4 linked regions of the Sus scrofa genome follow. The protein of the gene in region 3 purifies or fractionates together with the protein of the main gene of each other region. This does not show direct contact. Links are inferred from orthologs where the notes say so. Each region holds a gene or a part of one and is shown on either strand. Other genes may lie near its edges.

Region 1 (6,029 bases), on a different chromosome or scaffold from region 3:
GCCCCGGCCGGCCTGCCTGCCCCGGGACCTGACAGTACAAGAGCATGCTGGCGGCGGGCCGGCTCAGGCCGGTGGAATCCTCTCAGCAAGACTCGCCCGCCCTCGGAAACCCTGGGAGGAGTGGATTCATCACAGTCTGAGTCCCTCCGGATTCTTCAGAGTGCCGTTTCCGCAGAGAAGCCCCAGTGTCACCTGATCCGGGCAGAAGGCATCCTGGGCTCACCCACCACTTTGCTCAGTACCACCGGCTCCCTCTGTTTCACCACCAGCAGGCCCCAAGTTCAGACTCCAAGCCCCCTCTCCGTTGCAGCTGACACACTCGCCCGTCAGCCTGCCCCGCAGCTGGAGTGTGCCACTGGGCGGTGTGCACCGGGTACCACACAGGCTCATCGCCCACTTCGGGCCAAGGGCACAGCCACAAAATTGCTTTCGAGGACTCTTCTCTCCTGAGGCCGTAATCTGCTGCTGAGGAGGTTGCAGATACCCACCCCACCCGTGTGGTACTCTTGGAAAAGGTGGTTTCCTTTCTTTTTTCTCTAGGAAGGGCCAGATCTCCCACTTCTCCTCTCCTTCACGTTCAGGAAAACCCCATCAGGCAGAGCCAGTCAGGGCCTCCTAAGATTGCATCCCGCCTGGCTGACTCACAGGATGGGCTGAGTCCTGGGTGATGAGATTCCCTCTCAGCAGGAAGACGAAGGATTACCACCAGGGTAGAAACACGTGACTCTAAGAAGCAGCACCATTCGGCCTCACATGGCCCCACAAGACAGGCCTGGTCACTCACTGCACCCGAGCAGCTGCTCAGTGGTCCCCAAGCCCCACCTCCCTCTTGGGACCACCCTTGTCCCCTTGGCAAAGCCAGAGACCCTTTCGTCTGTCCCCAAACTAAATTAACTCTTGACCTGAATATAACAACCACTTTCACTTCACCAAACACCCTGGGAAGGAACGAACACGGCAAAAGCGGCAAAAGATGTCTCCTTGCGTTGTGTTGTCTGTGGTGACAGCAGTGGCGAATGACAGAGAGAAGTGAGTGGCAAAAAGCATTACCTCCAGCACTGACTTTAAAACATTTGGACAAAAGCAAATACGGAAACATGTCATTTCCGGTTTGACCTGCTAGATGGGAGAGTGGTTTTATAACATTCCATTCTTTTGTTGGCTTGAGAATAAAGGTCTTCGAATAAAAGATCTTAACACATCTCTCAGTCCCACGTGTTTCACAGTGACTCTCACCTGGACAGGAAGCTGTGCTCTTTTTTCTCACCAAACCTTTGACAGACGTCTCGTGTACAAACATGGGCCCAAACTGACTAGCCTTTCCCCATTAACTTTCTTGGGGAAAGGAAATCAAACGCTGGGGATGCTATGCAGGTATCTCTAAGGACCTGCCAAGGCCAGCAAGCAGTCAAAACTCGAGGGCGGGCAGGGGCACTCACAGTCCGGGCAGCAGCCATTGAAGGCCATCCGGCAGATACCGCAGTTCTCGTCGTTGGCCACCCAGAGCCACGTGGCCACGCCGTTCCAGCACTTGATCTTCACCTTCATGGCGCGGGAGCCTGCGGGAGGGAAGAGACCCCCGGGGTTCCGGTGAGGCTGCTGAGCTACAGCACTTGGGAGCCAAAGAAGAGGTTCCGCCCCGAGCCCTCTAGAGGGTCGGGGAGGGCAGGAGTCGCCTCCGGCAGGGCAGCACAAACTGTCAGCGAGGCGGCTGGGGCAAGGGCCGGGTCCCCGGGAGGACCGGGCGCTCAGCGCATCTCCCAACGCCGCGCTTCTGCCCGGGCGTCCACGGAAGGGGGCGTCGGCTTCCGTTAACCACTGCAAAATCCTGCCGTGTGTACGTCTGAAAGGGACATGACTGTCGAGGTCAGGAGGAGAGCCAAACCCCTCCCTGCAAGACACCCGCGGAAACAAGCCCCCGGCCTGCGCGGCCGCTCCCCCCGCCTCCGCGGACCCGAGCGCGGGTTCGGGGCGGGGGGAGGGGCAGGACCCGGTTAGGACGTGCAAGGAGGGGCAAGGGAGGGGCGGAAGCCCGGCCCCGCCCAACGGCCGCACCCCCACTAACCAAATCACGCGCTGCCCCACCCGCCTTCCGTTGGCGGCGCCGGCGCCCGCGCGGGAAGGTATATAAACGACCGCGGCTGCGGACAGGCACTTCTCAGCGGCGCCCGCCGAAGCCCGGGGTCCAGCGCGCACGCCCCGCCCCGCCCCCCGACGCCGCCGCCGCCTCGCAGCCAATCCGCGGCCGCTCCGAGGACGCAGGCCCGGAAAAGGCCGCGCGGCGCAGGAAGTGACGCGCCGGCGTGCTGACGCGCGGGCTCCAGCCGAGGCCGATTCCGCGCCCGCCATGGCCGACAAAATGGATATGTCTCTGGACGACATCATTAAGCTGAACCGGAGCCAGCGAGGCGGCCGCGGCGGGGGCAGGGGCCGCGGCCGGGCCGGCTCCCAGGGCGGCCGCGGCGGCGGGGCGCAGGCTGCCGCGCGAGTGAGCCGAGGCGGCGGACCCATTCGGAACCGGCCGGCCATCGCCCGCGGCGCGGCGGGCGGCGGCAGGAACCGGCCGGCGCCCTACAGCAGGGTGAGTGCGGAGGCCGGCTGGCGGGCCGCGGCCGGGGGGCGGGCAGGCAGCGCGACGCGGGAGCAGCGGGCGGGCCGGGCCGGGGGGGTGGGGGCGCGGGCGCCGGCCGGGCGGACGGGGGAGGTCGCGCGCCAGCCGGGCCCCGAAGCGAGACCCCACCGGCCTTTGTTTGGGCTGGACGCCGGGCCTCGTGGCGCCGGGGGCCGAGGAGACGTTGGCGCGGCCGCCCTGGCGGCGGGAAGTTAGTTGGAGGGAACCGAGAAGTTGCGGGAAGTGCGGCCCCGCGGGCGGGAAGCGGGGGCTGCGGGCCCCTCTCGGTGCCTTCCTCCCGGGCCGCGATGGGGGAAGGTCTTGTGGCCGTGGGGGCGAGGGCGAGTCCTGGAGCGCGACTTATGGGTCTTTTTCTGTCGCGTTTTCTTTTTCTTTAGCCGAAACAGCTTCCTGACAAATGGCAACACGACCTTTTCGACAGCGGTTTTGGGGGTGGTGCCGGCGTGGAGACCGGTGGGAAACTGTTGGTGTCAAATCTGGATTTTGGCGTGTCCGACGCTGATATTCAGGTAAGAGACTGGAGCTTCTCCTCGGGAGCAGCTCACCCTGTACAGCACTGACTGTGGTGTTTGGGACGGGCCGGGACCCTGAATCCGCACCCACCTTGGGACAGTGAGCCCCTCCCAGGCCCTCGAGGGCTGGCCACCACTGCTCCCTGGAAGGGGCTGCTGGAGTGCATAGCAAAGGCCAAGCTAGAGCTGAAAGTCCAACTGCTGGTTCAGTTTGCGCTGGAAGACAGGCCCGGGTCGGGCCGGGCCGAGGCACCGCGGCTTTGGTAGCTAAGCATCCGCCGTGGGGGTGAGGAGCCTCTGCCTGCCCTTTTCTGGCAAGTGTGGCTGAACGCGTGTGGTTCTGCGTCCCTGAAAGAGCGCGGCTGTCTGCGGCTTTATTTCGTGCCCGTTTTAGTGATGCTTTGGGAGGAGAAAGCCCTTTCTCTGCAGGGCTGACAAAGTGCAGAAGCAGAGTGCTACAGGCATCTCTGGTCCCCTCTGCCTTAAGCCCCGTGGAACTGGGTCCCGGTCTTTCTCTCACCTATGCTCACGCTCTGGGTCTCGTTAGCGGCGCAAGTGTTTATTTAGTCTCGTCTTCGACTCAAGCCTCTTTTCTTTTCCGTTTCTTTTTCTCTTTTTTAAATCCACTCTCCAAGGCACTTGAACTGGTTTTCTCGTGAAGTAATGCCGTTTTGGGGGTCAGTCCTGCAGATGGCTGGGTCCGGGTGAGGGGCCTTCCTGGGTTCGGTCTCCCAGAGCCCAGCCGTTTTACTTAGCCGTGGGGGGACAGAGCAAGGCCAGTGAGCGCTCACAGTGTCTCCACACTTTTTTTAAGGTGGTTTCTGGCATCCACTGGAAACCGCTTTTGGTGAACTCCACTTCCCGCTGTGTGCCTGCGGCCGGAGTAGCCCCACACTCTGGGTTCCCTCTCCAACTCCCAGCCTGCCTGAGGTCAGGGCAGTTTCCATGGCAGCGCTTGACTTCAGACTTTGCGGCAGGCTTGAGTAGGAGGAGAGGGAAAGGTGAGCCCGAATCTGCCCGGGGGAGGGGCTGGGTCAGGGCTCCCGAGTCAGCGGGCCCTTCGAGCTGATCCACCTTGGCTTAGAGCCCCTCGCTCTGTGATCTTGGCCTTTGCAGCTTCTCGGCGCAGTCCTCGGGCGTGTCGTAGGTCTTCCTCTGTAGAAGGCGAGGGCCACTTAATCTCGCGCCCTTCCCCGCGGGCTTTGTGATGCTTTACCTGCACTGTGGTACCTGTGTCAGGTCCCCCGACTGGCAGGAGCCCTCAGGCCCAACGGCTCCTGCCTGGAAGTTGCTGTCCCCCTGCCCCATCCCATCCCCCAGTTCCCGCTACCACTGCCCTGCCCCCCCCACACGTGACGTCTGCCTCCCAGGTAGATACCCCAAAGCAGTGCACACTTCCAGGGAGTGTCCCTGGGCTGCCAGGAAGAAAAGGGCTTCGCTGACGAGTGCTCTTTCGGACTCACAGGAACTCTTTGCTGAGTTTGGAACTCTGAAGAAGGCGGCTGTGCACTATGACCGATCGGGCCGCAGTTTGGGGACCGCTGATGTGCACTTTGAGCGGAAAGCAGACGCCCTGAAAGCTATGAAGCAGTACAACGGCGTACCCCTGGACGGTGCGTACCCCTGGACGGTGCGTGGCCCTGGACGGTGCGTCGGGAGCCGCGCCCAGAAAGGCCTCGGGCGCCAGGAGTGGGGCCGCCTGTGCCTGAGGACACTTGGCCGTCGCCCCTTTTTCTCCCTCTTCCCGTTCTGCCGTCTCACGCTCCCCCGCGCACCTGGACCAGCCTCTCGTGAACCCCCTCCAGCAAGCAAGCCCCAGTCCTCCCCTCCTGCAGCTCCTTGCAGGAGACTCCCTTCTGCGAAGGCCCTTCAGAACCGCCGTAGTCCGCCTCTGAGCGCGGGGCCGTAGTCTAGAGACCAGGGGCCTTTCCACTCGGGAGCCCTTCAGACACCCCCCTGCCCTGGACCCGGGAGGATGCTGCTGGGCTGTGCTCAGCGCGAGCTCGCTCTCCCAGCGGCATCTCCAGGCTGTTGGCCTCGTCGGGAGGGAGCATCGAGATGCCCAGGCCCCTTCCCAGTGCTCGCGTGGAGGCTGGGGCGCGGCGCCCAGCAGGCCGACCGCAGAGCCCTCTAACGGAGCGGGCCCTCTTGTGTTCTCTGCCGCAGGTCGCCCCATGAACATTCAGCTCGTCACCTCACAGATCGACACGCAGCGGAGGCCTGCACAGAGGTGAGTGTGCAGCCTCCGGGCGGGGCTGGCCCTTGGGGTGTCCACTCAGCTCGCAGGCCCCCCCGGGCACGAGAGTGAGTTCCCTCTTCCTGCTAGTGTAAACAGAGGGGGCATGACCAGAAACCGTGGTTCCGGAGGTTTCGGTGGCGGTGGCGGCACCCGGAGAGGCACCCGTGGCGGCAGCCGTGGCAGAGGCAGAGGCACCGGCAGGAGTTCGAAGCAGCAGCTTTCCGCGGAGGAGTTGGACGCCCAGCTGGACGCTTACAACGCCAGGGTAGGTCCCAGAGGAGGACGCGGGGCAGCGGCCCCGGACCTCCTGGGAGGCCCGGTGTGAGCGAGAACCCTCGTCCTCTGTTTCAGATGGACACCAGCTAAGCAGACCGGCAAATCCGTGCGTGGACCAGGACCCAGACGTCGCGTCCGTGCTCCCCGGAGGGGGGGGTGACAGACTGGGGCTGAGTGGCCAGTGATGGATTTGTTTCTTTTATGTTTTAAAATAGGGTTTAAAATTCATGTAAAGGTTTCTTTTTTTTTTCTTTTTCTTTTTTTTTAAATCCTGAAGCAGACCTGTTTTGTACCGAGTTATTTTTGGGATAAATTTTACTGGTTGCAGTTGTGGAGAAGGTGGCGTTTCCACCTTTGCCATAATAAACTA
Region 2 (5,831 bases), on a different chromosome or scaffold from region 3:
AGAATTCATGGCCCTAAAAACTGATACAACTCAGTCTTGATCTCAAATTTTTATACAGATGAAGCTCAAATGGCTGTTTCCCCCCCTTCCTAAGTAGGGTCTTCTATTTCAATAAAAGCTCGCTTTCCCTCATTTCATGTTACCTTTATTTTTAAGATACGAAAATTACATGTGGGTGGTATAAAAGTTTTCCTATATATAGAAGAAATATAGTAAGTACCCTTAACCTCTGCAAAATTCAAGTTTCTGCCCTCAATTAAACCATCTATATTTGTTTCTTTTATCTTTGAATGAATTTGAAGATTAAAATTAAAGTGTACAAACTCCTTGACTATATACAGTCTTAAAAAAACCTTTTTGGTAATACATCAAACAAAACATTTTTTAAATTTCCAGGTATTCACTGGCAAAGCATATGGCTGTAAAAGCTTGCCAACTGTTTCCCAAACAAAAACAAACTTTATCATAAGAGAAAAATGAACTTCTTCACCTCAAATAATGTACTGGCCAAAACCTACTGGGGTTCATATGCAATGTTACCCTTTTAAGAGGACGCAACTCTAATGTGCTGGCACACTTTCACATTTTTGTTGCCCAGTATTATAAAAATCTTTCCTTTTACTTTTTCTTCAAAGCCAGAGCCACTTATGTCTGATTGGCTATATCAGTACTCCTCAACGTTTTTTGGGTCAAGATGCCTCACAATCAGAGGAACAGGATAGCTCTTGCCAAATTAAAAAATTTGAAAACTTTTCATACAACTGCAGATGATTCAGGACACCCTGAAAGCCACGCCTCAGGTTAAGTACCCTTGGTTTACTGTACTTAGATCCAACAAGGTCAGATGGTCATCTCTACTTCTCCCCCACTTAACCTTTCCAGATCAGGAAATGAGTGGTTAATTTGATTACCTTATGTTTGGACAAACTAGCTTGATAGGAAAAGGGCACTATTTCTTGGCTATTTTACTACGGTTTAAAAATATTCTTAAAAATGGCAGTAATTTCAACTCGAATGTCTTAATGATAATGTCAGTTACGACAAAGTAAAAGTCGGAAAGATCAATCAGATAAAATATAAGATATAATGTAAAAATTGAGAAATTAAGAGTTTAAGGACTTTCATTCAAGTTTTTTGATCCATTGACAACAAAACTGATGAGATTTCAAAAATTTCTACCAGCAGTTACTACCTAACATAATCTTTGACCTAAATATTAATACAAAAAAGGAAATATATATTTCACAAATTAAAGCGTTAAATCTCTCCCCTTCAAGTGTCATGTAATTTTAAAGGATCAGAACAATCTTAAAAATTGAGCCTGAAAAGCAATGTCCACGAAGAATCAAGATCTACATATCAAATGTTCTATGGGGGGGAGTTAATTAAAAACTGAACGAACTTTTCTCCTATTTAGTCCTATCATAATGTAATAGCCAAAACAAAAAATAAAGTAACTATAAAAAGTTTCATTTTCAAGTACATTGTCTTTACAGAGTTCAAGACAAATCCTGTGAAAAAGCAGGTTTAGAATAGAAGCTTCTGTTAAATACAGCAGGGTATGCCACCCTTAGAACTAGCGCCTATCTTCGAAATGACCTACCTAGTCTTAAACTGTACGTAGTACAGAAATGGCGGCTTTCTGGTCAATGCCAAGCACATTTAGTCTCCCAAATTAAATAGCTTCCAAAACATTCTTTCCACCAACAGCAGTGTCCAACGCGCTTAAGATACACAATCAAGCAGATAGCAAAACAGCCAAAGCGGGAGGTGAAAGAAACCACAAAAGCTTTCTCCGTTCCTTGGGACACTCAATGCTAAATTCCACTCACTGCACAGCAAATACAAGGTACTGTCCAGCCATGTGGTGACTCTACAAGTGACTACCAAAATACCTTCACAGCCACTTCAAACTGGCAGCTACACACTGCCAGCTCCCATCCAAAAGCCAAAAAATCATAACCGTTGCTTAATGATAACTACATAGTAGGTCAAAAAACAAGTCGCTACAAGGAGAAAGACTGCTACTTTAGGTGTGTGGGCAATTGCCTGCTTCATTCAGTAGAAACACACCTCACTAAGGCCCGCCCTCCCCTCTCTTCCCACCCGAACCGATCCGCAGCACTTCTAACTATAGCATACTGGAGCACGCACTCACCCCGCCCATACTCGGAGGAGGCATTTAGACCAGGCGCCTGAAGTTCACCGCCCCATTCTCAATGCAGCATGGCCTCTGCGTGATCAGAGGTCCGTGCTGGGCAGATCTTTAATGCTTCCTCTAGTACACCGCTTCCTTCCACCCACCCCAAACTCAGACATCGGAATGAAGCAGAATCAGGATATTGTCCACTGTACAGCGCCAGCAGTAAACGTTTTGATCACTTAACACACTCAAGTCCGTGAAAGCAAAACTACAGCATGGAACCTCACCTGCAGATTCCCCCCCCCCAAAAAAACCAAATAACCTTCCCTACTTTTAATCCTACTTTGCAAAAACCCAAAGATTCTGAGTTTCCCTGCAGGAGGAGCAGGCATCAGCCCCTCCCTCCCGCGATCCCAAGCTCTCCACCGAGGGGCCACGTGATGCAGGCGGACGTTTCAATGCTGCTGCACTAAATATTTCTGGAAACTTCCACTCCTAATAATTTCCTGAGATGTTCCTGAAATCACCCTAACTTCTCCCCGGCCCCTTGGGCTGGGGAAGCCCTTCCACTCCCGCGCCGGGCCCCACTTCACTATCACGCTCCTTGCCTTCCTCCACCGCTACCCGCACACGCGAATGACCCAAGCAAGCGCTCCCCTCCCGCGGCCGCCTCCCCGCCTCCATCCCCCAGCGGCAGAAGCGGCTCCATTCAATCGCAGGCTGTGCTGTGGGCCCGCCGCCGCCTCCCCGGCTCGTCTCCCGCGGCCGCCGCCGCGCCCCACACCAGCCTCCTCCCGCCCGGCCGCGCCGCCGCCCGACCCTCGGCCCCGAAGACACAGTCGACTTACCCAGAGATTGAACCAACTGCTTCTTCCTTCCTTGTCGGGGGATTAGGGCGAGGGAAGATGGGGAGGGGGGGAAGAGGGGAGGAAATCAAGGTGGGTTTCACAGTTTCCCCACCTTAAAAAAAGAAATTAAAAAAAAAACGAAGGCGATAAGGGCAAAAAAAAAAAAAAAAGCTCAATATTTACTATCTCAGGGACACCTCCCCCCGACACACACACCCACCCTCCCCCCCAAAAAAAGAAGGGGAATTAATATGTGGAATAAATGCTCCCGCCTGGCTGGGGCGTGAGGGAAGGGGGAGGGGAACCGGGTCAGGTCCCAAAGATTCAGCCCCAGGGGGACCCTCCAGCCACAGGCGGCAGCAGGAGCGGCAGGAGTAGGGGGTGTAGAGTCCACACGGTCGGGGGACGCTCTGCTGCCAGTTACAGTCCGACTCCCCCCTACCAAAATACGGCTCCCTCTCTCACGCGGCTCCGGTGCTGGGCCCCCCCCACCCAGGCTCGCCTAAACTTTCCCCCCTTCTCTTGCTCCTCAGCGACTGGTGGTTCCCCCCTCCCCCTCTGGGTGGTTGCACGGACTGCAGCAGCAAAGACTGGAACAGGCACCGCCGCCGGGGCTGTAGCTACTGTTGCTCTTGCTGATGCTGTAGCTCCCGCTGCTCCTGCCGCGGCCGCTGCAGCCGCTTCTCCCCCTCCTCCTAGTGCCTCAAACTCGGAACCGGTTGAAACCGGTTCAGACTGGGAGATTCCATCTCGGTTGAGTTTTCAGCCCATGGCGCCGCGGAGCGTTTGGAACCTGGGCCTCCGCCCCCAGTCCGCTTGCCCATTGGCCGCTTCCAGCCATAGCCGCGCCATCAGCCTACCTCCTATTGGTCATATCGCCCATCAATCTCTGCTCTAGGCTCCACACGAGCCCGCCGCTTCGGCCCCCGCCTCTTTCCAGCAGCGATTTGCCCGCAGAGTGGGGGAAGGGAAGTGGGGCGGGTCGCAAAGGAGCGAGGAGGGGGGGTGGAAGAGGAGAAGGTGGGACGAAGAGCTAAGCAGAGCAGAGTAGAGAGCGAAGAGAAGCCGCGCGGAAGATTGGTTCGAGAGGTCTGTCAATCAAATATAGCCCGCCCTCAACTTCCCGTCCTCCTCCCTCCGCTCCCCCTCCCAGGGCTTAGCCCGCAGGCCCGGCCTTTCCGGCCCGTTCATTGGCTGGGCGCCTTTGGTGACGAAGCGGGTGGGGCGCAGCTCGTGAGCTGGTGGAGGCGCGAGTTTAAGCGCGGCGCGCGGCCGCCTGCGTCCGCTCGGCTACTCCCGGACTCGCGTTGGTCGGCCCCCGCCGGCTCCCGCCTAGCTGCAGGGCCTTAACCCGCAGTGGTCGGGACCTGTCCCCCACCCATCGGATGGGGGCTGTGCAAAAACTAGGGCACACCCAGTTTTTTTTTAATCGGAGAGGGGCGGGGTGGAAAAAAGGAGCGAAAACAACACAACGGAGGCCAGTCGTAGGCCCCAGACCGGGTTTGGGGCCGAGATGTTGAGAGGTTGGGGTGAGGTATGGGGCACGCTCCCTTGGCGCCTCTTACTCCTCTCCGAGACGTGGGAAAGTTACCTAAGTAGTTCTTGGGCAAGTCTCCTTCAAATTTTAACTCGCCGTCTCCCCAGGTTGGAATTTGGCTGCTTCAACAACCAATTCTTCCTAAAAATTAAGACACTGTAATCCCTGTAATTGGTTTAACATCCTGTGCTTTTTGCTGGGTAAGCTTGAGTGCCAGCTGCCCTTGATCTTCCTTTACCTTCGCTTTTTCCTTTCGGGTAGTTACCCTTCACAAATTTCATCATCACCAAGTAGTATTTTCTATGAAAGTCACACGCACGTGGCCCTTCACATGGTTGTCTCTCTTGTCCGCAAGTGCCCTCCAAGTAAGCTTTACTGATTGTTCTTTGCTGAAGAAACAGCAAGCAGCCCACCAACATTTAGTAGGCCCATTGTGCCACCAAGAGGTTGATAAATGGTTTATTAAATCACAGTTTTCTTCAGCAAATTCTCACTTACAGTGGACAAAGGCTAATACCCAAACACTGCTTAAGAGTAACTCTCTCACCCTCCAATAGGTTTGCCAAAATGATGTTGGATTACTTTGAGACCTAAGATTTTTTATTCATTGCTTAGCTTGAATGGTATCAAACCAAACTGTATTATGTATGTGACGAATACACTGATCATCTGGAATACTTACATCCTATTACAGGACTGTCCTGTTTTTTAAAAAGTTTTTCCTCCACATTTTCAGCTCTTGCACCAGGCCACTGATTTTTTTAGATGCCAGAACAATGAATAAAAATCGACTGGTTTGTAAGACCTGGCTTTGCTGAGAATGTGACCTTGGGCAAGTCTCTTGACCTCTTTGGGCCTCAGTTTCCTTTTCACTCATTAATGAGACTCATATCATCCATGCCTGTCTCATCTGTATAGAGATCAAATGGGTGTGAAAGAGCAGTGTGGCCCATAAAGCACTAAATAGTCCCAGTTTTCTGTCCTCTTCTTTAGCTCTTCTCGTCTTTAAGTCATATCCCCTAGGAGATCATATCTCTCTGGACCATAGTTAATCAGATGTAAACATTTAGCCCATTATTTTTGCCTAGAGTTAGCCAAAATGGAGTATTCAATATAAACTTATTAACAAGCGCAAAATGAAGTGACTGGAGGAGATAATTCTGTATGATCACTGTGTTTTCAGAATCAATTTCAGAAAACATGTCTGACATATTTAAAATCCTTTTTACATTATCTCCATTTGTTGGAAACAAGACTTCAAAGGTTGAAGTGGGCCATGAATAAGGAAATGTTAATAAACTGT
Region 3 (5,326 bases):
GCAACAGGTATGGTACTTTAGCCAGAGAAGTTTCTATTCAGAACCAATCTAGTGATTACTGTGCTTGCTGCTTGGGTATCAAAGGTATCACTGAAATGCAAAGATATAAAGTAATTAAAACATAGGTAAATTGTAAATTTTTGTACCAAATGTTCATATCAAAATTACACATTTTCTTAACTGCTAAAGTACAATGGCTGAGTAACTTGATGTCATAATAAAGAATATGTATACTTAAGAATTATAAAGTCAGCTCATAGTATCCTTTGGGGTTTTTAAATTAAAAATACTTTATGGGAGTTCCCATTGTGGCTCAGTGGAAACGAACCCGATTAGTATCCATGAGGATGTGGGTTCAATCCCTGGCCTCACTTAGTGGGTTGAGAATCCAGTGTTGCTGTGAGCTGTCGTGTAGGTCACAGATGCGGCTTGGATCCCATGTTGCTGTGGCTGTGGCGCAGGCTGGAAGCTATAGCTCTCATTCTACTCCTAGCCTGGGCTCTCCCATATGCCACCGGTGTGGCCCTAAAAAGACAAAAATACATCCATACATAAAAATACTTTATAATATTTTAAAAATATTATATAATAAGATGAACTGAGGATGAGAGAAAGATGGACAATCTCCAAAATTAGGCATTTTTCTTTAAAAACAGCTAATAAAGAAGATAAAATTACTGAGCATTCATCACATGTCACGTACTGTTCAACGCATTTTGTGTGTGTTAATAATTTAATCCTCATTACAACTTTATGCTATTATTATTTCTTTAGGAAAGTAAGGCTAGAGAGGCAAATAATTCACCCAAGATGACACAGCTAGGATCTGACTAAATCAGGATTAAAACCCAAACCAATCTGGCTCTCAAACCTACACTCTTCAATTACATGCTGTGCTGTCTCTTAATTTACACAGGATAAATATGATTTCTTACATAATGAGGTAACACCATTCACAAAATTAGACTGTTAACTTCACTGCCACTGACTCTCTTAGATAATAAACAACTCAAAATTAAAATGTCCAACCAGCATAATTCAAACAAGATTAAACCACAAGTACAAACAACACAGGCCCTTTGAGAGGTACTTCTGCTGGTCATGTATGTACCTCAGGATCGTCTGTGTAATCAAACATCCTGAAGATGACCCTTGGCATCGGGTACACGGAGTCTTCAGTGTGAGGAGGTGGAGTGAAAGGAGGCAGGTTGTGCTGCAGTGCTTCACACAGAATGCTGTCAAAGGCAAGATAAGGTCTTAGGATGTGTCGCTCCTGCCAGCGATCCTTTTTCAATTTCTGAATCTGGGCCCACAGGCAATCTAAATACTAAAGACAGATTATTTTTAATAATTAATAGATATTTGAAGGCTAGATGAAATCATATTTTGACTAGACAAAACCAAAAATCAACTATTTTCTAAAATACAGGAAACAAAAGGAAGCTAACTTACAGTTAAACATAGTACAAAGAAACAGTGCTAAGTTTCTGTGGTTTTTTTTTTGGCTTTTTAGGGCCGCACCTGCAACATATGGAGGTTCCCAGGCTAACAGTCCAATGGGAGCTGTAGCTGCCAGCCTACACCACAGCCACGGAAATGCAGGATCTGAGCCGCGTCTGTGACCTACACCACAGCTCACGGCAACGATGGATCCTTAACCCACTGAGCAAGGCCAGGGATCGAACTCACAACCTCAAGGTTCCTAGTCGGATTTGTTTCCACTGCACCATGAAGGGAACTCCTAAGTTTCTGTTTTTACTTCAATTACTTTGTAAAGACTGGGGCTGTTACACTTATTTTTTCAAATTGGGCATTCTAACAAAAAATACATCAATTCTATGATATCTGGAATCCCCAGAATAGGGACTGTTAATGACATTCTAGATTTATTAAAAATCCACTATCTGCATATGGCTATGAGGAGCTGAACCCTTGATATGAAATGTGAAAACGTAGCCAAGGTTTCACAAGTGGAAGGACTCGAACATGTCACAGATATTAGAATCTACTCCAACTGTGCTTGTATCATAAGAAACTGAAAACAATTTACCTCTTCTTGTGGATGTGGTTTCTCAGCAGTCCATACCTGTAACATGGGCACATGAGTCTTTTGGCGTCTTCTAAAGATAAAAATGAAAATCTACATTTAGGTTTTTAAAAACATGAAAAGATGTTCAGTTGTTTTCACAATTAATAAAATTCAAATTAAAGGAGTGAAACACTTTAACCTATCAGATTGGCAGATATCAGAATCTTTGATAATGTATTATATTGCCAAAATGTAGGCAAATACAAAGTTTCAAAAACTCAAAAACATTGCTGGTAGAGGGATAATTGATATAATCTCTTAGAAGAGATGTGGAAGAGTCTAATCTCTTTGGAAGGCAATTTGACTACATCTATCAACATTAATATAGTTAAGACACTTCAACCCAGCAATGCCATTTCTAACAACACACATGCCCCACAAACATATGTGCACAAAGACACAGGTACAAGGATACTCACTGAAAACACTGTTTACAATAAGGAAAGACTTGCATAGGCCCCAAAGTCTACCAACAGGAGACAAGTTAAAGAAATTATGGTACATTAAAAGAGGGGAATACTGGAGTTCCTGTTGTGGCTCAGCAGGTTAAGAATCTGACATAGTATCCATGAGAATATGGGTTCAATCCCCAGCCTTGCTCAGTGGGTTAAGGATCCAGCGTTGCCACAAGCGAGGTGTAGGTTGCAAATGTGGCTTGGATCCGATTTGGCTGTGGCTTAGGTCTGCAACTGCAGCTCTGATCTGACCCCTACCCTGGGAACTTCCATGAGAAGCAGGTGTGGTCATAGAAAGGAAAAAAGGCGGGGGGGGGGGGAGTGTAATACTATACAGCTGTTAAAAAGAAGGAGGTAGAACTATATACTTTTATGCGACAAATCCAAACTACACTGGTGTGGGGGAGTACCAAATGTGTACAGAAGAAAAAAAGCAAGTGTGTACACCATATCATTTGTATAAAAAGGGGGAAGGACTTCTTCAAACATTAGGATATTCATACTCTTATTTTCATTCTTTTGCAAACATCTAGATATTATTTTTAAAAAGTAAAACTTTTTTTTTAAAGGCTGCACCTGTGGCATATGGAAGTTCCCAGGCTAGGGGTTGAATCAAAGCTACAGCTGCCAGCCTACGCCACAGCAACGTGGGATCTGAGCTCTATCTGTGACCTACGCTATAGCTCATGGCAATGCCAGATCCTTAACCCACTGAACAAGGCCAGGTATTGAACCCGCATTCTCATGGATACTAGTTGGGTTCTTAAACCACTGAGCCACAACGGGAACTCCTAAAAAAGTAAAATTTAAAAAAATATAAAACATTGAAAAAATCATTTAAAGTTAACAATGTAATGAGAAAGCACATTTTTAACTTTAGACTTACTTTAGCTTTATTTATAACTAAGTAGATATTAACAATACCCAAAGAAGTATCTATTAACAGAAAATGAAACTTGCAATCAAATTATTCTGAAAAAACTTAAGGGGACACAAAACCACTATCATGCTGCTGTGTTCTTACTTGAGATAGCTTTCAGTGTTGGCAAAGATGCGGTCCATCTCGGCATCTTTCTTTTCATACAACTCCTTTCCAACCCAGGGTAAGGACGACAGAAAGGCATACACGTACCAATCCCGCCGCACCTAAAGAATATTTAAAATAGGTACAAGTGAATTTTCATACATAGTATATCTATTCTTCAATGAAATCCTATGGACACTAATTAAAAGGGCTTAAAGAAAATATCTGGCTCATTCAGAGTATTTTTAGATACCTTAGTTTTAATCTTACCAGAATGGATCATTTAACTAAAATACAGATGTCATGAGAACCCACCATTAAGCCAGCTGACCTAATTTTTAGATATTAAGTTTTTTTGCTATAGGTGCAGCATGTGGAAGTTCCCAGGCTAAGGGTCGAATCAGAGCTGCAGCTGCCGGCCTACACCACAGCTCATGGCAACTTCAGATCCTCAACCCACCAAGTGAGGCCAGGGATGGAATCTGAATCCTCATGGATGCTAGTGGGGTTTGTTTCCGCTAAGCCACAATGGGAACTCCTAGATGTTAAGAATTTATAATGTGATAACCTGCCGTGAATCTTTTGGGTTTTTTTAATTACTAAAGGGTGAAAAATTCGTGGTACTGTATGGATAAGATTCCATACTAAAGAGAAAATACCTGGTACTGTATGGACAAGAAGCAGCATAAGGGGTCTTCTTACCTGAGGCACATCTTCTTCCTGAGTAACACTTACAAAATTTTCAAACATAGCAACCATTGATGGAGCAGCAATGACATGACAATTCACAAGATCAGATAAAAAACGGACCTGTTGGGTAAAACAATTTCTATTAAATGTAAATGCCCTTTATAGTAATTATAAAACAAGCAATTGCGTAAAGGTTGAAACCACAGGTCTGAAAAACTATAGCCCAAGGGCCAAATCTAGCCCAATGCCTATTTTTAAGCAGCCTGTGAACTAAGAGTAGTTTTTAGATATTTAAATGCTAGAAAAAGACCCAAAAGAATATTCTGATTCACACAAGTTACAAAAGTAAATTTCAGTGTCCACAAATCAACTTTTACACAGCCATGCTCATCTATTTACATACTATCTGCAGCTGCTTTTATGTTCTAATAGCAGAGCTGAGTAGCTGTGATAGACTACAGGAGGGACAGGAGTCTGTGCATTGATAGCTTCACATTTATACTGGAATAAGAACCTAAACTGTAATATTCTAGCTACTACAACTTTTGCTGTTTGGCTGTGAAGGAAATTTTCACTGGACAACAGAAATGGAAATTCATGAAAAGATATTTATTGGGTGTCCTTTGTGTGCCACTGCTGAGCATATTAGAGTCTCTGTCATATGGGGGCTAATAGTCTAGTGGGACAAGCCAAATCTCAACGCAAAAGGATGAATCCTATACTAAAGGATAAATTAAAAAGTGCTCTAGAAACAGAGATACAGAGAGAGGGGAAAACATCTTAAGGGAGTAACAATCCATCTAGGTCATACAGAATGAGTAAAGTTGTCCTCCAGCGGGGAGCAAGGAGAGGGTCTAGGCAGAGAAGTTCAAAAACATGGTGCAGGGACCTGCAAATATTCTGATACAGCTGGAGGATATATGGGAGGCAAACAGAAACAGACTAGTGCAACCACTGAGGGTCAGGCTTAATGAAGAATCTGAACTTCACCTTATAGCCTGATGGGTGTCTAAATTCTTTTGTGTACTCAACAGAAAAGAATCTGATCACATACTTCCAACATATATA
Region 4 (5,783 bases), on a different chromosome or scaffold from region 3:
TATCTCAAAACTCATCAAGTTGTACATATATATGTATTTTTTGTTGTCGTTTGTTTTTTAGGGCCGCACCCAAGGTGTATGGAGGTTCCCAGGCTAGGGGTCTAATTGAAGCTACAGCTGCCAGCTTACGCCATGGCAATGCCAGATCTGAGCTGTCTGTGACCTACACCACAGCTTACGGCCACACTAGATCCTTAACCCACTGATCAAGGCCAGGGATCAAACATGCAACCTCATGATTCCTAGTCAGATTTGTTTCCGCTGTGCCACGATGGGAACTCCCAGAAGAATTTTTAAAGATGAAATCAACAGGACTTGATTTTGATCCAAACATCAATAGGAACTGATATCTGCTGAGATGATGTAACATGTGGATGGGAAGGAATTTAGGGGTGAATCCCAGATTTCCTGGTTAGGCCCGCCTATTCACCACATGTGTAATTTCCTGGGCCAGGGATCAAATTCTTACCACAGTATCAACCCAAACCACTGAGGTGATACCACTGGGTCCTTAACCTGCTCTGCCACAAGGGATCTCTGGTAGTACCTTGGTTCTGACTGTTGTTCAAGAGTGATTTCTGAGCTGGGAACGAATTGGCATGTAGGCAGTAATTGATTTTTATTTATAAGTTTGCTTAGGGAGAAAGAGAAATGAGAAGACCAGAGAAGGGAGCCAGCCAGTCAGACATGATAAAGTCACAGAACTCAAATGAAGAGCATCACAGAGAACACTCTAGATCTTTCATTTTTCTATGGTTCCTCCTCTATGTGTCTATTCTGCTCTCCTTTCTTTGGAGCATCAGTTACTCATCCAATGGGAATAATGATACAATCCATTTTGTAAGAAGTTGTAAGGATTGAGATCACAAGGGTCATATATTCAGAGTGACCAGTTCATCATTGGTGCCAAAGAAATTGTTTTCCTGTGAGATTATATGTGTTTGGATACAGAAGGGGGCAGATGTGGAGGAGAGAGAAGAAATAGCCTTTGCTAGGCACCTAGGCACTGTTTTAAGCACTTTCACAGGAATTAACTCCTTTAAATCCTCACAATGGTGGGTAAAAGTTCAAACTTGAGCTAGACTGCCTAGTTTCAAGTATTTCCTTTTTTTTTTTGTCATGCCCATGGCTTCCTGCAGTTTCTAATTTCTAAGCTAGGGATCAAACCTGTGCCACAGCAGTGACACCAGCCAATGCAGCTGAGCCACACAGAAACTCCAAATAGTTCCATTTTACAACCTATAAGTAAGTAGTAGAGTTTGGATTAAATTCTGGGGCTGACTAGGAGTAAGTAGATTTGACTCTAGTATGTCCCTTCAGGCAGTTTAAAATCTTTTGGCTACTGGGCAGGGAGGGGTCTTGGGATTACTTGTTCCACCACTATTTGAAGTTTGTGTGATTGCTTTTAGTTCCTCCCTGGGAATGGCCGATTTTTATTCTTTATAAAAGACAAATCTAGTAGTTCCCTTATTAAAGATCCCACGTTGTCACTGCAGCGGCTCGGGCTGCTACTGTGGCACGGATTCCATCCGAGGTCAGGGGACTTCCATATGCTGGAAGATGTGGCAAAAAAAAAAAAAAAGAGACAAATTTACTAATTCCCTAGTTAGAATGTTTCAATCCTTATTAAACATATAAACATTCAGTTTAATAAGTCTTTTATTGATCTAATCTACATTACTTTCAAAGGCTGCCTAACGTGTGTTTCTTTCCGCATTTGTACCATGATTTACTTCGGCAGGACTGAGTCTTTAATTTCAGTATTCTCAGCCCCCTGCCAGCACTTAGCCTAGCATTCAGTATGCACTCAATAAATGCCTGCTCAAAGTATGAATGAACTAAAGAATCGCGGAACTGAGTCGCAGAGGGGGATCGGTCTGGGAATTCCAAAGTTCGGGAGGGGACACGGGGGCGGGCAGTGGCTGTCACATGACTAGGCGGGGCAAATCCCATGTGCTTCGCGGCACCGGGCAAGGCTCCGCCCTCTGCGCCGGTCACGTGGGGGCGCCGGCTGCGCCTGCGGAGAAGCGGTGGCCGCCGAGCGGGATCCGTGCGGGGAGCCGGAAATGGTTGTGGACTACGTCTGTGCGGCTGCGTGGGGCTCGGCCGCGCGGACTGAAGGAGACTGAAGGTAAAGCCGCCATGTCCGGGCCCGACCCGGCCCCCCCATCCCCTCCCCCCGCATCCGCCGCCATCCGGGCCGGGACCGGCTACCCTGCGCCGCCTCCCCGGCGCCCTGGCTCCTCGGCCCAAGCCCGGGCCCCGGGCCGCCAGGGCCCGATCCCCGGCCCACGTGTGCCCGGCCTGGCCCGGCCTGGCTGCTGGGTGGGGGTGGGGGAGCGCGGGGCCGGAATATGCGGTCCCCGCGGGCTGGGAGGGCGCCGGGTTTCCCGGCTGCTAAGTGCCACCTCGGCCCGACCCGAGGAGGCCCTACGGGCGCAGGCACCGCGACTCCCGGCCCGCCGCCCCCTCCCCCCTTTGCGGCCCGGCCGCCGGGAAGTGACACGTTGTTCTTTGGCACTGGCCGGCGCTGCGCAGGGAGGGCGCAGGGGAGGGAGGCGGCGGCGGCGGGCAGGGAGGAGCCCCCGGCCCCGCCCGCCCTCCAGGCCGACCCTCACTTGCTTCAAACCGGCTCTTCTTCGGCCGCCGCCCGCCTGGCCTTTTACGGCCCGACTGCCGCTTTTCCTGGCCTCCACTCCTGGGCGGCGGCAGGCCTCGCCTCTAGCCCCGTGCGGGTGCACCCGCGGCCACCCGCGGCAGGCGTGCCTTGTGTGCCCCTGGGCCAGGCCCCGAACCCGGTGTCCCCGGGTGGGGGGTGGGGACACCACGGCCGAAGCTGCTAGCTCCGTTTGTGATCCGGGAGCCTGGTGCCAGCGAGACCTGGAATTTCCGGTCTGGTTGGTCTTGGGCCCCGCGGAGCCAGGTTGATACCCCCCACCTCCCAACCCCAGGCCCTCGGATGCCCAGAACCTGTAGGCCGCACCGTGGATTTATTCTTAACCGAGGGGGTGAGTGAGGGGCTGTTTCAGCAGATCAGGGGGGGTGGTTGGAGCTGCGGGTCTGACAAGGTGTCGGTGGGGACATAGGCTGGGTTTTATGCTCCTTCACCTTTTTGGCGATTCCGGGGCTTGTTGTGGGACCCAGACCTTGCTTCATCCCTCCCCCACTCCATTTGCCTTAAGCTTGGGTCCCTTCCCCTTTCCGAGCTCCGCTCTTTCCCAACAGGTGCTGGGGGGACCCTGATGTGGCACCAAATGAAATGAACAAAGCTCCACAGCCCACAGGCCCCCCACCTGCCCCATCCCCTGGACTCCCACAGGTAATTAGGGAGGAATTAGCAGCAACTGGGGTGGGGGTGGGGGAGACCAGGCAGCCGGGTCAGGAACAGGTTCCAACCTCTGGATTTTCCCACCCCCTTCTGTGTCAGGGCAAAGTGCAGCTTCCTGCTGCCAAATTGAGGCAGGGCCCCGGGGCTGTTCTTAGGGGCTGTCTTGGGGAGGGTATATGTGGACTGTTGAGGCTCTTGCCACAGCTCTGCTCCCCTTACTTCACCAGCTTGAGTTTCTGCCCCACCTGGGTTTCCCCTCTTGCTGAATTCTGGTCTCCCCCCTTCAGCCAGCGTTTCCCCCGGGGCAGACAGCACCGGTGGTGTTCAGTACGCCTCAAGCGACACAAATGAACACGCCTTCTCAGCCCCGCCAGGTGAGGGGCTGTGGGGAGGGGAGTAGGGGGCCTGGGTGGGAACCATGTGAAGCTTAGGCCAGTTTGGGCCTAGGATGGAAACTATGGAGGCCTTGTACCTGCCCCAACTTCCTGACAGTTGCTTTCATGCGGTTCTGCACTTTGCACTGTTGATTACTTACGGTGGCTGGCCCCTTGGAGTATGTAGTTGGTGGGGATGGCATTCCTAGGGGTCCTGGTGCCTTGGGGGCAGTGCTTTGGGCCCTGCTGCCAACTCCTGCTTTCCTGTTTTCTTTTACTGGGAGGTTGCCATTGCTCCATTCCCCATCCATCTTTCTCTTTTGGACTGTGGCAAGATAAACACTCCAGCTAGTTCTTGCCTTTCTCTGTTCCCTAAATTCTTCCTCACAAGTGGGAGAGGATTCTTGTCCTGCTTCCTTCATTTTCTTTCCCTCCTCATCACCTTGGGGATAATTCTTTTCTTTCCTGTCCCCATGTGCTCTCAGGGAGGATTCAGGTCTCTGCAGGTAATACCCCATTGCTAATCCTGAACTCTCTCCGGGTCTCACCCTTACACTCTGCCCTAGTCAGGGGCTAGACTCAGTCTGGGTCCTCAGTCTGAGGCTGACCGATGCATGTTAGGGGCTAAATCTTGTGTAGTTCACATCTGGGAACTGGGAGACTGTTGCATGTTAGCGGTGAGCTCCTCAGTACCTTAGGGTGGAGCAGTGCATGCTGGGGAGTATGTTGCTGAAAAAGGCTTTACTTAGGCATGATGCATCTGGGTGTTAGGAAGCCTCTGCTGAAGGATAGCCTGGTGAGGTGATCTGAGTATGCATGGCAGGGAGGGAGTAAATATACAGAGTGCCAAGTGTATACCTGAGTTTGGAGGGCGTATGTGAGTATAAGAGGCCACTTAGCCATCACTTGGTCAAGTGAGTCTTGGAAGTGTTGGTCTTCATGCTCCAAAGCCCCTGGTACTTCTCTCCTGACTAGAGACATAGTGGAATGGCCCTTTTGCTGTCCACCTCCTCCCCTTCCCATTGCCAACTGCCTTCCTCCCTCCTGACAGCACTTCTACCCTAGCCGGGCCCAGCCCCCGAGCAGTGCAGCCTCCCGAGTGCAGAGTGCAGCCCCTGCCCGCCCTGGCCCAGCTGCCCATGTCTACCCTGCTGGATCCCAAGTAATGATGATCCCTTCCCAGATCTCCTACCCAGCCTCCCAGGGGGCCTACTACATCCCTGGACAGGTGAGGCTGGAGGCTTGGGGGCTGGAAGCCACAGAACCTTGTACCCTCCCACCCTCCCCCCTCCCCTCCAGTCCCATCTCTTCTCCAGAGGTGGGACTTCCTTCTGGTCATTGCCTAGAGTTGGCTTGTCCTGTCTTGTCCTACATACTCTTTGTAGTCTGATATGGTCTTCATAGCTCCCTTAACTCCTTCATTCTCATCCTCCCCTTTCCCCTCCACCAGGGGCGTTCCACATATGTTGTCCCGACACAGCAGTATCCTGTGCAGCCGGGAGCCCCAAGCTTCTATCCAGGTGCAAACCCTACAGAGTTTGGGACCTACGGTAAGCAGGGGAGGGAGTTAGGTGAGAGTGAGTCCCAGGGAACATCTAAACTTGCTTACTAATTCCTAAGACCCTTCCCAGGTTTGTCTCTTGGTCTAAAAATGGTAGAGGTAGTAGGGATTGGTGCTTAATATGTAATTGGTGTGGGGGTGGCGGGAGAGGGTCTTATAGTATCGCTGAGAGTTGGGAGTCCTCCCCACATCAAGGAGTATAGTTCAGGCACCAGTTTGAGGGCCTTTGAGTAAATATTCCCTGTGACACTCATTCCATGCTTGGGGGGAGCCCATGTAACATGGATTTGGGAAGTTTTTGTAGCTGTTTTTCATTTATATTCTAGGAAAGGATTAGTCTGTTCTTTATGGCAGTGGTTTCCAAAATTTTTTGATCATCAGGAAAAATTTTGAGTATGTACCTCTAATACGGGTATGTTTCTATTTGTTTATATGTATGCATCATTTAAACAAATAACACTTATGTTGCTTGTCAGAAACAACTGGAAGCTATGGATGATGTTAAAGAACGCATCTCATT

The links.
Region 1: the proteins of NCBP1 (region 3) and ALYREF purify together in Homo sapiens (affinity purification with western blotting; 6 studies listed by BioGRID and IntAct, with this or other methods). This does not show direct contact. The link is inferred for Sus scrofa from reciprocal best matches to the Homo sapiens genes NCBP1 and ALYREF.
Region 2: the proteins of NCBP1 (region 3) and XPO1 purify together in Homo sapiens (affinity purification with western blotting; 3 studies listed by BioGRID and IntAct, with this or other methods). This does not show direct contact. The link is inferred for Sus scrofa from reciprocal best matches to the Homo sapiens genes NCBP1 and XPO1.
Region 4: the proteins of NCBP1 (region 3) and EIF4G1 purify together in Homo sapiens (affinity purification with western blotting; 3 studies listed by BioGRID and IntAct, with this or other methods). This does not show direct contact. The link is inferred for Sus scrofa from reciprocal best matches to the Homo sapiens genes NCBP1 and EIF4G1.

Annotation. Positions count from the first base shown.
Region 1 is NC_010454.4:1,097,015-1,103,043, forward strand, and holds the start of ALYREF (THO complex subunit 4), read left to right. Parts: upstream 1-2,224; 5' UTR 2,225-2,347; coding exon 2,348-2,581; intron 2,582-3,009; coding exon 3,010-3,141; intron 3,142-4,609; coding exon 4,610-4,757; intron 4,758-5,310; coding exon 5,311-5,374; intron 5,375-5,470; coding exon 5,471-5,648; intron 5,649-5,734; coding exon 5,735-5,749; 3' UTR 5,750-6,029. Other genes in the region: ANAPC11 (anaphase-promoting complex subunit 11), read right to left, coding at 1,440-1,548. UniProt on the Homo sapiens protein: Functions as an mRNA export adapter; component of the transcription/export (TREX) complex which is thought to couple mRNA transcription, processing and nuclear export, and specifically associates with spliced mRNA and not with unspliced pre-mRNA.
Region 2 is NC_010445.4:80,252,990-80,258,820, reverse strand, and holds the start of XPO1 (exportin-1), read right to left. Parts: upstream 3,806-5,831; 5' UTR 2,992-3,805; intron 1-2,991. UniProt on the Homo sapiens protein: Mediates the nuclear export of cellular proteins (cargos) bearing a leucine-rich nuclear export signal (NES) and of RNAs.
Region 3 is NC_010443.5:239,504,959-239,510,284, reverse strand, and holds part of NCBP1 (nuclear cap-binding protein subunit 1), read right to left. Parts: intron 4,379-5,326; coding exon 4,271-4,378; intron 3,691-4,270; coding exon 3,569-3,690; intron 2,121-3,568; coding exon 2,051-2,120; intron 1,328-2,050; coding exon 1,112-1,327; intron 1-1,111. UniProt on the Homo sapiens protein: Component of the cap-binding complex (CBC), which binds cotranscriptionally to the 5'-cap of pre-mRNAs and is involved in various processes such as pre-mRNA splicing, translation regulation, nonsense-mediated mRNA decay, RNA-mediated gene silencing (RNAi) by microRNAs (miRNAs) and mRNA export.
Region 4 is NC_010455.5:122,201,528-122,207,310, forward strand, and holds the start of EIF4G1 (eukaryotic translation initiation factor 4 gamma 1), read left to right. Parts: upstream 1-1,978; 5' UTR 1,979-2,131; intron 2,132-2,583; exon of another isoform or gene 2,584-2,951; 5' UTR 2,952-3,008; intron 3,009-3,225; 5' UTR 3,226-3,259; coding exon 3,260-3,319; intron 3,320-3,555; exon of another isoform or gene 3,556-3,615; coding exon 3,616-3,702; intron 3,703-4,187; coding exon of another isoform or gene 4,188-4,208; intron 4,209-4,753; coding exon 4,754-4,930; intron 4,931-5,152; coding exon 5,153-5,252; intron 5,253-5,783.